Linked DNA regions of Medicago truncatula. The protein of the gene in region 1 interacts with the protein of each later gene in a pairwise test. Links are inferred from orthologs where the notes say so. Each region holds a gene or a part of one and is shown on either strand. Other genes may lie near its edges.

Evidence for each region. The genes of interacting proteins can lie anywhere in the genome.
Region 2: the proteins of polyadenylation and cleavage factor homolog 4 (region 1) and protein CLP1 homolog interact in a two-hybrid assay, tested with the Arabidopsis thaliana proteins (3 studies listed by BioGRID). The link is inferred for Medicago truncatula from reciprocal best matches to the Arabidopsis thaliana genes PCFS4 and CLPS3.

What each region holds. Positions count from the first base shown.
Region 1 is NC_053047.1:3,170,344-3,178,151, reverse strand, and holds the start of polyadenylation and cleavage factor homolog 4, read right to left. Parts: upstream 3,001-7,808; 5' UTR 2,791-3,000; coding exon 2,527-2,790; intron 395-2,526; coding exon 293-394; intron 204-292; coding exon 1-203.
Region 2 is NC_053042.1:56,156,342-56,164,248, reverse strand, and holds the start of protein CLP1 homolog, read left to right. Parts: upstream 1-4,887; coding exon 4,888-5,097; intron 5,098-5,185; coding exon 5,186-5,254; intron 5,255-5,353; coding exon 5,354-5,449; intron 5,450-5,734; coding exon 5,735-5,976; intron 5,977-6,121; coding exon 6,122-6,260; intron 6,261-6,407; coding exon 6,408-6,464; intron 6,465-6,618; coding exon 6,619-6,753; intron 6,754-7,434; coding exon 7,435-7,670; intron 7,671-7,907. UniProt on the Arabidopsis thaliana protein: Required for endonucleolytic cleavage during polyadenylation-dependent pre-mRNA 3'-end formation. Functions in gametophyte, embryo and postembryotic development.

The sequences.
Region 1 (7,808 bases):
ATCCCATGAGTTGGTCGAGGAGATTCAGAAGCCCTAAGGGAATTAACGCCTGATGGTTGATTATTAACTGGTTTAGAAAATTGCAATTCCACGTCAATCTTCCGTAAGACAGAAGGAGGGAAGACTTTTGACCAGGTACCAAAGAGATGTCGCATAGCAGAATGTAAACTTGGATCAACTTGTCTGTATGCCACGCAGAAAACCTAGGCAGACAATAGAACTATAAGTTTCAATAACAGAATTAAATCATTTAAGAATTCAATCAAATTACAATAAACTCGAAATGACCTACTTCGGGTAGACGCTGCGAGAAGTATCGAACATATTCCTGGCCAACATTCTTCACAATACTGTCCAAGAGATAGAGTGAAGGTAGCTTTTGATCTGCAGACACCTGAAAAAAAATAAACAATTGGAGACGATACAAACAGCGGAGATTCGAATAATAATAGAGACGTTGATTTTACACTACAAACTATTAACTAGATAGTAAATGAAAAAATAGAAAAGAAAAAGGAATCACTCTCCAGTCTCCACACTAAACTTAGTGGCATGTCAGTGACAACATTTTGCATGATGAGTTATGTGTTCTGGACAACTATAAAATGATTTACTGCACAGTTATTTACCGAATTCTTTAACCAATTCTTACAAAGTTTCCATTTCAGAGAAGAGATTAGTGACAATTAATCTCAAAAATCAAAATTGATACGGGGTTAGGTTAAGAACCAATACTTCTGTAAGAGTCCCTGTATGATTTTTCCAACAAAGAATCAAACTTATTTCTCATTGGTACGAGCAAACTACGCCCATATAAACTTAGAAGAGGCATCAGTATCATAATTAAACAATTTTATTATTCTGCCTCTGAAATCACCAATGTTGACAAAGATAAAGCAAACTATGTACTAGTTACTTTGTATACTTTGTATGAAATGATAAAAGTGTGTGTTACGTAGTAAGAGGGTTGAAAATTGGCATTATAGGTATTCATAGAAAATGATAAGTGGTGATGAAGCTTGGGAGAGAACGCAAACTGGTAAGAATACGATAGGTTATTCTGAAATGCAAAAGTGATGAAATGAATATACACAGAATCAAGATATATAATAGATAGAATTCTATCAAATTGACCTAACTGTCAGGTAGATGACATGACACCAGCAACCCAACAATCTTCTAGCATAAGCTACTAGTAATACACAACCTTGGTTAATAGCTTGTCTAAAAACAATAACAGCAAATATACTACGCTATAAATATAGCTAAAAAATAACATATTAACATAGGCATGAAATATATATGAAGTAAGCTGGATTATCAATAGTCTAATATGTGTGATACATGACTGCAAGACTAACAATATACTTAACCTAATATTTACTCCAAGCAAGTATATGCTAATGTTCCAAAATCATTCAATTTAATCAGAAAATTGTTTAACATTCAATTGCAGCCATGTTCTTTCTCATATATTTCTACTACAAGCAACCTAAAACACAGGTAACTCAGATAACACGCACGCACGCACAAAAACTCACAGAAAAGAAAAGCTGTGAGGATTTGGAACACTGTATTCCAACTTGAGCAGGTCACCAAAAGACTTAATCATTTCAGCAAAAGCACAATAACGAATTCCCTTTTTTCAGATGAAATGCCTGCCTAAATCCTTTAAAAATTAAATATAGTATAGTATTTCCAGTGTTGTCAAATTGCCGCCATGGCAGTACGACATGGCAGATTTCGTGCAAGCCACTATCGTCCTCAATTCCTATTATATCCACCATAGGCCGTAAACCCCATTATTATTACACGAAATTATGTGCCCTGGCTTCTATAATCCACCATTGATACACTAAGTATTTCACTTTTATAGGTTCCGAAAATCGATTTTTAATTACTCAATTGTGTTAACGGTTAACTATACTTACTTGAATCTCTAAATTTTAGCATTTGTTAACAATGTTATCAATAACAAATCGCGGAAAACAGTGGTTTGTTCAAATTCCGCTATGCTACAGTGCTGCTATAGGACTAGTGCTGCTATTTGACAACACTTTAACTAAAAAGCTAATCGCAAAACGACGGTAGTTTGTTCAAATTCCGCTACACTACACCCGGTATTTGACAGCATCGTTCATTATTAGTTATAGTTATATAATAGTTATATACCATGTAATCCTTATTATTTTCAATTGCCCAGATGCTACTAATCGGTTTAACACAATCACAATTACATCAAAATCATTACTTTCAATTTCCAATTCCCAAATAAACAATTATTAATCAAATGAACAATTATTATAAATAAAAAAAAATCGCCAAAACTGTGAAACCCATCAAATGAAATGAACTAAAAATCGAAACTTTTTCCTATCGAATAGCAATAAACAAAATTCATAAAGTAAAAAACAAATAGAACAATGAAATAGACAACAATTGAATTAACAACAATGAAAACAACAATAACTCTTAATCTGAACAATGGTGTGGAATTTTACAAAAGGGGGTGTAAAAAACAAAAACCTCAACAATACGGTTGCAAATAGCAAAAGCGATTCCTTTAGCATGATTACGATGTTGTTCAGCAATGATAGTAAGATCAGTGATGATAGGTTTAACATTACACGTGAGTTCAGACAACAAAAGCTCGTAAATCTGAACAATTTCTTCTGTTGAAGGTTGCGAATTTCTCAACCTAGGATCTTCTTCACGACGTTGATTCAACAAAGCTTTGAATCGACCAACGAGGATTGATGGTGGAGGCTTTTGAACAATCTCATTGCTCATGGTGGGGTGTGAAATTGAGAAATTGGGAAAATTGAGAGAGAAATTAGGGTTAGGGTTTTGAATTTGGGGGAAAATGAAACATAAGGGTTTTGAAACGGTTTATATATGAGAAAGAGTTGTTGTTGTTTCAAAATGAATTCTTCAATTGTTCAAACGAAACGCAAAACGCAAAGAATGCATTTGATTGTGTATTTGTGAGTGATGAAGTAGATATATTTTCTTTAATATAAAAATTTAAATATTTTCTTACAAACTTTTACAAATTTCTTTTTCTTTTTTTTAAAGGTTTTGCAAAATTAAAAAAATGAAACTATTGTCATAGCATAGAATTAACATTTGTTTGTTAAATTAATATAATTAATTTTTGATAAAATGTTAACCGGTGCCCTTGGAGCACTGATTAAGGATACTAAAAAGGAAATTATACAGTAATTATTGCATTAAAAATTGTGTAATTAATCCACCAAAAATCAACATAGTTTTCTTTTTTTTGGTAATAATTCTCTTTTTTTTTTTAAGTTTAAGGGGCACCGGTTAGCATAACCCAAAAATAAAAAGTGTATGTGAGTCATTAGGATCACGAAGGATATCAAGAAATTTTCTCATTGATAACCAGAATCGAACACGGTCTTGTAAGTGAGTCAATTGTTTACCATTTAAATAAACTTTTTTTTTTGAAAGGATTTCAATAAACTTTTATTGGGTCAAAAAAAACTTATAATTAATAATATTCTTTCAGATTTAATTTGTATGCATCGTCAGTGTAAACTTATTTTACTCATATATTCAATGACGTATTGTCATATCAATTAATGAATATGAAAATACATGAATTATTATTTATATTCATTAATTGATGAAGTGGTAATGCATTGTTAAATACGTGTCTACATTTTTTTATTTTACTTTTGAATTTGGTCAAAACCAAATCTTTTGTATTTATTATTCTTCAATATTTTGTTTGAATTTGGTCAAATCTAAATCTTTAATATTTTATTTTTATTTTTGTAAATTATTCTTTAGTTTTTTTTATGAATAGAATATTTAGTTATCAAAAAAATTATATTCTTTAATACTTATGTTTTACTAATTTTCTTGTAGTCCAAAAATTTATAGTTTTTAATGTTTTGCTAATTTTCTTATCTTATCTTATAGAAAAGACTACTAGCTTTTCTATCTTTTTTGTCGGCGTCAACAATCGGAAGAAAAAAAAAACTTGTATTTTTTACACTAAAAATGAAAGAGAAGTATCATAAGTAGGCATGGCAACAAAACTTATATAAAGGGAAACTCAAACCTTAAATTATTTTACTCACACAGTCAGAGTATCAGTCTCGACACTCACTTATCATAGTTCTCTTTTTTTCTCTTTTCAAATCTCACACTTTCGGCCTCTCTCTTCTCAATCACCATAGTCATCTATCATCATCATCATCATCTCTTTGTTGGATTGTGATCGGGGCTGGAAAATATTTTATTTATATTATAAAAAAATATTATCCACTGCGGGGATGAGATGGGTCGAGGATACCCGAACCCGCGAGGATGGGGATGAGATTCGATTTCGCATCTCCGTTGGATATGGATAGGATAACAAGTAAGTATATGAGAGTAGGGTATGGGGACGTGGAAGATAAAACATGTCCCCACCCCCGCCCCATTGTCATGCCTAATCGTAAGTATAACTCAAACGCTAGTTGTAAAGATGTTTGGTATTACATAAGTGAATTTGAAATAGAATTCTTCACTTTTCAATATTTAGTATTTGTGTAAGTTTTGTCGTTAGAATCTTTAGAACAATAAAAATGAAGAAATAAGCTAAAGAGTAAATTACAACACACTATCCAGAGATACACTTGAATTACAGTTTTTTATCCTCTTTTGTTAAAATATGCATTGCTATCCCTTGAAAAGTAAATGTCTAGAACAAATTACAAATTATACTCTTTTTCTTTAAGAGATGCTTGTATGTTTATTTTTCTGTGTACCCGCGAGTTTGTTGTGCGCCTTGCATACTCTCGATGTGAATAATATTAGCCGTTTCAAAAAATAAGTAAACATGTTTTTTTGAGAGTTAAACATGCATTAAACTTTAGCCCATTTTTCTGGTAGATAAGTGAAACAATAAATAACCATGAAACTCTCATACATAAGTAGAGGGAGTTCGAACCTCAAATACAACGTCTAACTTGATACGGGGTTATGTTGAGAACCAATACTTTATAAGTCTTTATTATACTATATGACAAAAAAACCTTTGTTTTAATTAGAAGTCTTTATTATACTTTCTTTCCATGAGTTTTTATAAAATTGGAGTTAAAATGCGAACATTGGATGTTACTATGTGTACATTCCCATTCCTCTAAAAAAAAAATGCATATTTCATTCATATCTATTTTTAACTATGAAACTTAATTACCACCAAAAACTATATCTTGTCTCATTCTAATTATTTGATAATTCACCGATATTCTACCATTTTGTGTCTTTTTCCCTTTCAACTTCCCTCTGTTATCTCTATGTTTACAATTTGAATTTTCATAAAAAAAAAATGTCAATTAAAACAAATTTCCCCGTAATAGCTCAAATAACAAGACATTGTGTAAGTTACAAATCATTTCTTACTTTTAAGACATATAATCCTTGTAACTTAATGAATGGACATCTTTGTCACTTGATAATATTTTTCATCAGACACTTTTTTTGTCAGGTAGTTTAGTGGTTAGAATTCACCTTTTTTAAGGTGAATAAGTGTGATTTAAACCCTGACCTCTACATATAACAATATATTTCTCTGCCAACTGAGTTATGCCCACGTGGATTCATCATCCACTTTTTAATATTTAATAACAACTATTCTAATTTATCGGAGGAAAATATTTCCATGTTTTTATCATTAATGTCATATTTATCATTAAAAAAATTATGTTTTTTATTTCTCAATGCAACTAATATTGTTAATGTGTTTTGGCGCACAACTCGTTCTTCAAAGACTAATATTTGTTTGAAGAAGTTAAATTAGTCCACTCAAAGACTAATATGATATTAGTTGTTTTTAAAAGATTACATCAAACCAACATACAAAAAATAAGATTCTACCACTCCTTTTGTTTCCTTTCGGTGGTTAAAGGCGTGTAGGTCAACCTGTTCTTTTAGCTATCATGACTGGTGGAGACATCCTCTACTTTGCATGAGAGTTTTACAATAACTTTGTTGTTCTTCTTCTGTTTTTATTTTGGTCTATTTGCTTTTTGTTTTCTGTGGCAGCAGTGACCTGTCTTGTACAAACTTTACGTGGTTCTCTTTTGCATGCCTTGTACGAAATGAACCACTCCTTTTGATTTAATTAATTCCATTTTGGCTTGTTAAAAAAAAAGATTATTTCATTTTAAGTAAAAGAAACCTATGAAAAACTGAAAACAACAACAACACTCATATGATAAACTTCTTTATATGCATTATGTAAAACTTAAAAAATACGGTTTGAACAATTATTAAAATGAGACACGTTTGAATAAGAACAATCAGTCTCAACTTTGGTTTTTGATTTAAAACAATATTAACATTGATGGATGACTGATTTCGATGACAAGAAATTAATATTTGTAGTTTCGTTTAATTGATGTGGTTCTCTTTAAATAGGTTTATAAACCAAATTTGTTCTTTTTTTGTTTTCCAGGCAGCACCTCTATAATTCTAGGTTAACTATTTACACCTAAAACCCTCCATCTGCAATGGGTGAAGGAGGCAATTGCTTGTCTGTCTTATATTCGATAATGCATATAAATTATGAACATTTGTTTTTATGAAATTTTAATTAAAATTATGAGTATACAGAATAGATATTTCGTACTCTCAGATTGTAATAAATTATACCTATCTTTTTTAATGATGCCGACAACATAGAATTTTACGATCTTTTCTCATGAAATTTAGAGCAAACTCAATCGATCAACAAGTTGGTTTAGTTTGACTCAATCAAGATGACATCGGTAGAACTTTAAGAAACTTATGTTAAAAAATCTATAAAAAAAATAAAATTTAAACACTAGATTTTTTGTAGTATTTTTTTTTTGGTGGTCGGGATTTGAATCATGGACCTTGCATATATTATCCATTGTGCATACCAACTAAGTTAAGCTCACGATAACATTAGCTACAATGAAAAATTATATGATTAAAAAGATACATCAATGCATCATTTTTTAAGGTAAACCTCTTTATACGGTGTAAAATAAAAAATTAGTATTAGCAGATCAATAATTCACTTAATTATAGTCTCGATTCGACATTGGTTGATTTCTCATCTTAATACGACGTTGTTTGATTTTCAATCATAATGTGATGTTTGTTTGATTCATATTAACCTATCAATTTAAATTAACTAATATTGTTTCTTTTACCCAAAAAAAACACAATAATTTAAGGTTTATTAGTCTCTGGCCCAATCTATACTGGAAAACAAAACACTAATTTGTTTGACATCTTATTTTGGAAGCTCTAAGCCTGCAAAGTCATCTTATAATGTTTCCAATATTACTAATAGATCTATAGAATTTTTGGTAAGAATAGATCTAATCATCTATAGCATAATTTTCAAACATATTAAATGAAGACAACCATGTATGATCATGATTTCTAAGATTTTCTGCAGGCAAATTGGCATATTTCTTTCCATCTTAAGAATGAAAAACCAAGAAAAATATGAGACCTATTGGCAATGTCTCCTACCAAAACACATTTGAAAACGTGCTTCCAACCCATTTTTGTGAGAAATATGCCAACAAAGCAAAGGAATTTTGTCGTCACTAACATATTGGTGCATTTTTTCTTGTTACAAAAATAATGCTTACCAATAATAGAACTATTGATACAAAATGTCAACAATTATTATGTTTTGGTCAAACTAGTCATAATTTTTTTTTCTAGCAATTACAGCTATTTCTATCTCATCAATTTTGTCATTTTTAAAATATCGTTTATCTCATATGTATATTTTATAATATTAATTGCTTCTT
Region 2 (7,907 bases), on another chromosome or scaffold:
CTATTGTATGGCATTGTTTCCCCTTGAAGAACATTTTAGTATGCATGTTTGTCAAATTTCAAATCATCGGCTGATTAGCGCGTAAAGGATGGATAGTATCCGTGGTTGCTCTCTTGCATAACCGTCAATATTTTCATTTTGAGCTCAATGAATGGTTACTCGAAAAAGGTGGAATATTATTTCATGATTGCTTTCTTTCATTATTATTAGTCATTCCATACAAAATCCCGTAAGGAGAATTCGAACCCACATCACCGTAAGGTGGCAAATCTACGACATGCTAATAAAATGGTTGATGAAATAAGGTTGGTGGAAAATTATTTCAAGGTTTCGATCTCTTATAAAGAACACATCATATAACCATCAAGTAGTCGTGTATGCATACCAGAGTCCAAATCCTTATAAAGAACATATTATTGATTGAGGGCATGCAAAGTTGCGCCATAAGTCAGAACATTTGACATGACTAACGACCTTCCACTTTGTTCTAATGCATTGTCAACCATGTCTTTCGACGCCATTTTCCCCTCAAGACAGGTAGTAGCAAACATATTCGGCGACATCTTTGGTGAAAACCTTGCTTGAATATAATTTGGTTGAACTTGTGATAAAAGTTCTGCCTAAACAACATTTGGTTGAACCTATGGTAAAGGGTTATGCCTTAACACATGCTTGCATTTGTTGTGGTACCAAAAATGTGAATAGGGTGTTCACCTTCATGGTCTCATTGGGCATGCCATTTGTTGTTGTCGTGCAAAATTCGATGCTGCCAAATGGTTGTGTGATTATCCGATGTCATAATAACTTGGTTGATTTATCGATTCCTCAATTTATAAGATGATATGTGGGTTTATTTTCACGTGAGACGATGATTCCCTTTTTTGTCAAGTGATTGTGTTGAGAAAGGGCTTTGTTTCTTAGATGTGGGTTCATATACTGCTATAAAGAGCGTTTAGTTTTGAAGGATGAACTACCACCTAAGAATGCATAAAAAAAAAAGTAAAAGAAAATGATAAAGGAATGATAAAAAAAAAAAAGGTGTAAAGACTTGTTTGATGTGATGTATCTTGAATAATCTTTGCGATGAGTAGTTATACACTTAGAATAACTAAGCAACTTATGCTAACATTGTTTACCATGTTTTTGAATGACTATCTATCATATTATATCATGTAAGATCATGGCTAACATCACTAATATAAGTAACCAGGGGCGGATCTTTCCAGGGACCCCTGACAATCATGGTACCCCCAAGTTTTCTATATATATTAGATTAGGCATAATCTATACACTAGTACTCAGTAGGCGCAGTAGAAATGATGTTTGTTTTTCCCTTAGAGGTCGCGTGTTCGACCCTTCCAACTGCTTTCTTTTATATTTCTGTTCAATTTTTACTATTTTGTTAAAAAAAAATGGCTCTTATAGGGATTCAAACTGGCACCCCTGCTCTGCATTCAAGCAAAACAAACCATTGGACTAGTTAACAATTATATCCTTTTCTTCAAACAACTTAATATATATTTCATACAATTCTAACACCCTCAAAAAAATATTTCAAGATCCGCCACGGTAAATAACTACCTCGTGGATTGAATTACAACTTAAAATGGTATTGTTCGCATAGTTATATTATCCATGTCATCCATCACCTTATTATTAAGGGAGTAAATCTTCATGAATGTTTGAACTTAGTCGGCCACAATTATCCATGACATCTTGTTCATATTGTTGAGTTGAAGGGAAAATTGTACTTTGTACGACTAGCTATTTGGTTGACATCTACCCGTGTTCACCACAATTATATTTTTTAGATAGTGGATGTTTGACCATGGTTTGCCATTGAATTTGACATTGGGATAAGTTTTATATGTATTTTTTCCTTTAACCACTTTATTTACCATGCCACATATGTAGGAAAATTGTCGTATGGTCTTTGAACTTGATCAAAACTATGTTGCATCCTTTTAGAATACCATTACAAATTACCATCGGTTGATTGTCATGTAATGGTTATTCAATCAATTTAAATTTGGTATCTATGCTCGTCCTGTCTGCCACGAACCACGATTGCCATCGGTTGATTGTGTTGTCCTTGATATCTAAATCTTTTTAATCCATCCCAACGGGAAAAATATATATATGATTCGACTGTTCATTTTTATTTGCAGTAAATATCTTATAAATCGAGAAGTGTTTACAACAATAATAATGAGTCATTGGACTAAAAAATAATAACGAGTTATTGTTGCCTCCTTTATCGAAGATAAATCGCTAAGGTTAGGACTTCGTCCTGCTCATACAATCAATTACTTAGAGTAATAAAAGGACTATTAACATATTTATAGAGTGTGTTCCCTAAAAAAAAAATATATATATAGTGTGAAAGCGACATCTAACTTTCACTATGTTCAAGAGTGTTAATTTTTTTTTTAAGGTTTAAATAGTTTTTTGTCCATGCAAATATAAGTTATTTAAATTTTCGTCCATAAAGTTATTAATCCTTCCAATCTGCCACTGCAACTATTAATCATTTGAAAAATGGTCATAATTACATCTGATTAGTAACTTTAGGGATGAAAATTCAAATGACCTATTTTTGCAGGGACGAAATACCTATTTAAGCCAACTACCTCATTCAATCATCATTTGTCACATGGGCACCACGTCACTAATGACAACCCACCTCAACAAAAAAACCTACTTATGACCAGAAGTCAAATATTAATATTTGCAGTGGCAGATTGGAATGATTGATAACTTCATGGACGAAAAGTCAAATGACCTATATTTGCATGGGCGAAAGACTTATTTAAGCTTTTTTTAATAACACATCTATTAATAAATTAGTCAAAAGTAGCAAATAATTAAAACAATGCAATCATGAGTTGTTCGTGATTTTAGTCTCAAATATTTGAGCGAACTTTAACACATGAAAAATGAGAAAGAATGTATTCATAAGTATTAATCAATACACTAGAATCATGAAGAGAATCAATGAAAAAAAGATTACATTGAAATTATGAGAACTAAGTATTGCATTGTTGATCTCTTATTGAACAACCAGATAGTAAACTTTGTTGATATAGGAAAGAGAATCAATGAACAAAACTTGAGTTTTAACTATAGAAAATTACTTATTCAGACCACTCAAGAGTTGAATGATTTGATCTTCACTCTAATAGTTGCAAGCAACATGCATAGCTCTATAACTACATAGATCAGGGCAATTGCAATTAGACATAGGTATGTGAGAGTTCGTCTGTGTGAAATAATCCAAAATGGGTTTCGATTATTGCCTGAGATTATTAATCGCGAAACATAAAGAGGATATATGAATCCTGTCATTTTTTGAAAACCATTTTCTGAGGTCTTCCAACACAAAAATAACATTGGAAAATTATAGTTTGTACAATGAATTTAGAAAAATGATTGATAGAGCATGAAAGAATAAGGGGATTACATTGTTCTCACGCACCTCGATTCAAGTCAAATTGGTTAGGTATAGGAACACATTCATCAAGGAACCATTAATGAGTTCAGGGGCGGATCTCTTTGGGGGCAGGCAAGTGTCATGGTATCCCCCAAAGTTTCCTTATATACTATATTAGGAGTATAATATCAATTTGAATTGAGCTGCTGCAGTGGAAAGAGGAACCGTGAATTGTTATAGTTCAACACTTTGCCATCTTTTTTTTACTTGTTTAATCTTCTATTATAGCATATTGTATTTAAAAAAAAAACATTTTGAGGGGATTCAAACCCACTTCCTCTTGTTCTTTTAAAACATTTTATACCACTTGGCCAGCAATTAATTATTGATAATACTTTAAACCAGTTAATATATATTCCATAAAAGTTTGGCACCCCCAACAAATTAACTCAAAATCCGTCACTGAATGAGTTATTCATGATTTACAACCGTTTTATATTTTTAACATATATAATATTAATTTTTACCTGACATGCATGACTCCTACAATCATATTTAAGATATGAAAAATGAGATGAAATATATTATTTTACAAGATATATTGGTGGTGCAATGTGTATGTACAATTGATTGGTTGAAATGCATGACTTCATGACATTTCTTATATTCAATTTTTTTTTTTAATTTAAAATTAATGATACGTTTAATTTTATCATTTTCTAATTATTATTTGCATCACTTAAGTTCTGAATAAAACGTAATATTCTAAATTAAAAATTAAATTATAGATCAAATATCTAAGTTTATGTTTAATTTGAATAGTATTTATTATGTTTTATTCACCCCGGTTAAATTTCATATTACAATATTTTTTTTTTTCACTTGAGAATCGGATGCATATGTATGAGATGAGATTATATAAGATCGAAGCTTAAATTTCTATCAAACTTTTAAAACTTACAATATTAGTACCATAACATTGAAAAAGAACCAAAAATTAAATTCAAAAAGACAAATATAATTTTTTTTAAATATTTAAATGAAATAACAAAACATAATATCAATAATATAAAAGAATTGGAGGTAATTGACATGTCAAAACTGATAAAATTATTTATTAAATCTATAAGTTATTTAACTAAAAAAATGTTTTGTCCTATATTTTCTTTTTAAGGTGGATTTTAGGGCAAGGGTACGGAGTATAAAAAAAGAAGTAAAAAAATATGGAGTTCTTTGGTACTCAAACAAAATTGAATTGGTATAAAATCTTTGCGCTTCTCAACTAAAAGCTTCACATCTGTTGTCGGGAACCAAAAGCTCCACCGTCGTGGCCCGTCGCACTTCCGCGAAGCCCTATCATTCTCCTACTTATCTATTACTTTCAACAGAACCTTTTTCCATTCCCTATCTCCGCCGCCTCCACAAACCCTAGTCTTTCACATTCTCACCCGTTCAAAATGGCGTATGGCGGTGCAGGTCCCGCTGTTACTAGTTCAAATTCGACACCGACAATTAAGCAAGTGAAATTGGAAAAAGAATGCGAATTGAGAATTGAAGTCTCCGACTCACCTCTTCGTCTTCGACTCCTTAATGGAAACGCTGAGATTTTTGGTACCGAGCTTCCACCTGAAATCTGGCTCAATTTTCCTCCTAGACTCAAGTTCGCCGTAACTCTTCTATTCCCTTCCATCCTCTTTTATAACAATTTTCATATTTTCTGCTAGATTCATTAACATATCATTTTCTTCATGTTAGGTTTTTACTTGGTATGGTGCTACCATTGAAATGGATGGTACTCCTGAAACTGGTTATACTGCGGATGAGGTAAATCACTTTGAGATTATTGCTTTCAATCTTTCTATCAAACCCACTCATGGAGGGAGGATATTGCAACTTCTTTTTTTTTTTTTTTTTGAATTGCAGACACCAATGGTTAGTTATGTAAATGTGCATGCTATTTTAGAAGGAAGAAGAGATCGCGCTAAGAAATCACCTTCAGACGACTCTGTATTATCTCAGGTAATTTTATCGTGTTTTGTGATTAGGAGATTGGATGCTTCATGTATGTGTTGGTGCTGATTGTTTTTTCGTGTATGGCTTTTATTTTGCACTGTAGGTATATCTTTTTGAAGTTTTATTTTTTATGGTTTATTATTATTATTATTATTATTACGGGTTTCAAAATTTGAGCGTTTATTATAAATTGCTGTGTTTGGAAGAATGAAATTTGTGATTCCTTTGAGGTGTATGATGTATAGCTTGTTGTAGTATGTGAATTAAGTATCAAATGATTTGATTGGTCAGGGTCCTAGGGTGATTGTTGTTGGACCTTCAGATTCTGGAAAGACTACCTTGTCAAGGATGCTTCTTAGTTGGGCAGCTAAACAAGGTTGGAAGCCCACCTTTGTTGACTTGGATATTGGCCAAGGGTCTATAACAGTTCCTGGATGCATTGCTGCCACTCCAATTGAAATGCCCATCGATCCGGTGGAGGGAATTCCTCTTGAAATGCCTCTTGTTTACTTTTATGGACACACATCTCCAAGGTAATTAGAGCTGTAATTCCTATCATATTTTCAACTATTAATTGGCAAAATCACATGAACACACATTCATTTGAAGTTATAAAAAATCATTAACAGCACACCGAAGGAAATGAAAATACAATCACCAAATAATTCTTTTTTTCAGTAATAATGTAGAATTGTATAAAGTGCTTGTCAAGGAGCTCGCGGGGATACTGGAGAGACAATTTGCTGGCAATGCTGAGTCCAGAGCTGCTGGAATGGTGTTAAATACCATGGGATGGATAGAAGGACTGGGCTATGATGTAATTAACCTTTTGAACCTTAAATTATTGTTGAATTGAACACTGCTGAAACACAGAATGTACTGCTAATTCTGATTACTAGATCTTGATTATGGTGGTCTTTTTCTCCCATCTCTTACTCGTTCTTTTGGTTGTATTTTATTGCAGATGCTATTGCATGCAATCCGTACATTCAAGGCCAATGTTGTTTTGGTTTTGGGCCAGGTAGATGGTAGCCTTATCTACTATGCATCACACTTCCCCATAACTAATACCTTGATTTTTCACTCAAAATAAATGAATCTTCCTTGGGAGGTGCTCTGTATATTATAATTTTTTGTAAACTCAGTCTCAGGCTTTCCGTTTGAACTCCTTATAGGAAAAACTGTGCAGTTTGCTCAGAGACGTGCTTAAGGGTGAGCCTAAAGTAGATGTTGTGAAACTTCAGAGGTCGGGTGGAGTTGTATCTAGGCCTGTGAAGTTCCGTCAGAGGTCCAGAAGTAATAGGATAAGGGTAATCCTACTTTTCCACTTTTCAATATTTTCTGCATGTTGAAAAAATCTCATTTGTCTTCTTTTTTTTTTTTTTTTCATTTTAGAGGACTTTGATTGTTAAATGTTAGTTAAATGGGCAAGTGGTAACCACGGTGGGGTTTAGGGAAGGTTTGAGCCCATTGAGGTTCTATTGTAAAAAAAACTTACATAGCATTTGCAAAAGGCCTATTACACGACTGGAACCCGTGACCTCATAATCCCATGATTCCACTTCAACATATTAAATGTTAATTGTTCTGGCTTAGCCAAGCAGTTAATTGCAGTTAATGAGAAAAGAATGATTTTTCTATGAGAAATAGGTAGAATTAAGTATTGGGTTGTGTATTAGAAAATTGTAACCAAAAAAACATAAAATTTTAGTGAAGGGAAATAGTTCTTTTGAAAATAGTAGGATCCTTTGCATTTATCAGCACTGTTAAAAACCTTGTAACTTGTAAGCACATATTTGTTTGGATATAAAACTGCATTGCCCAAAGATTGCTTCTGGATATTTTGCTTGTAGCTTTGGCCTTTGGGTTAGTTTTTTTTTTATTTTTTTCTCCCTGCTCCTTGGGCATTCCTAACATTCACTTAATTGTCTTGCCTGTTCCAACTATTTTGTAACTCTAATTAAAATTGCTGCTATTTGATTTTGACGCAGGAATACTTTTATGGTCTTACAAATGATCTTTCTCCTCATTCGAATATTTCAAATTTTGGTGACTTGTTTGTTTATCGAGTTGGTGGTGGGCCACAAGCTCCACGCTCAGCGTTGCCAATTGGAGCAGAACCTGCTGCAGATCCAACGAGAGTTGTAGCTGTGAATATAAATCGAGATTTGCTCCATGCAGTCCTTGCTGTCTCATTTGCCAAGGAACCTGATGAGATCATTTCAAGGTAACTATGATTTGGATCGAGCAATTAATTATCCAAATCTTAATACTCGTTTAAGGTTTAATTTTTTATACAGCCCGATGATAGTGTTTGATCCCTATATTATTTGTTGTTGCTTCGGAAGTATCACACTTCATAATGTCAAGTGTAGGCCAACAAAGAAAAGAACAAGTGTATTGGCCCATGAGGTAACCTCTGTTGATTAGTTAAAAACAGTTGGTCAGGGAGCTGAGATTACTT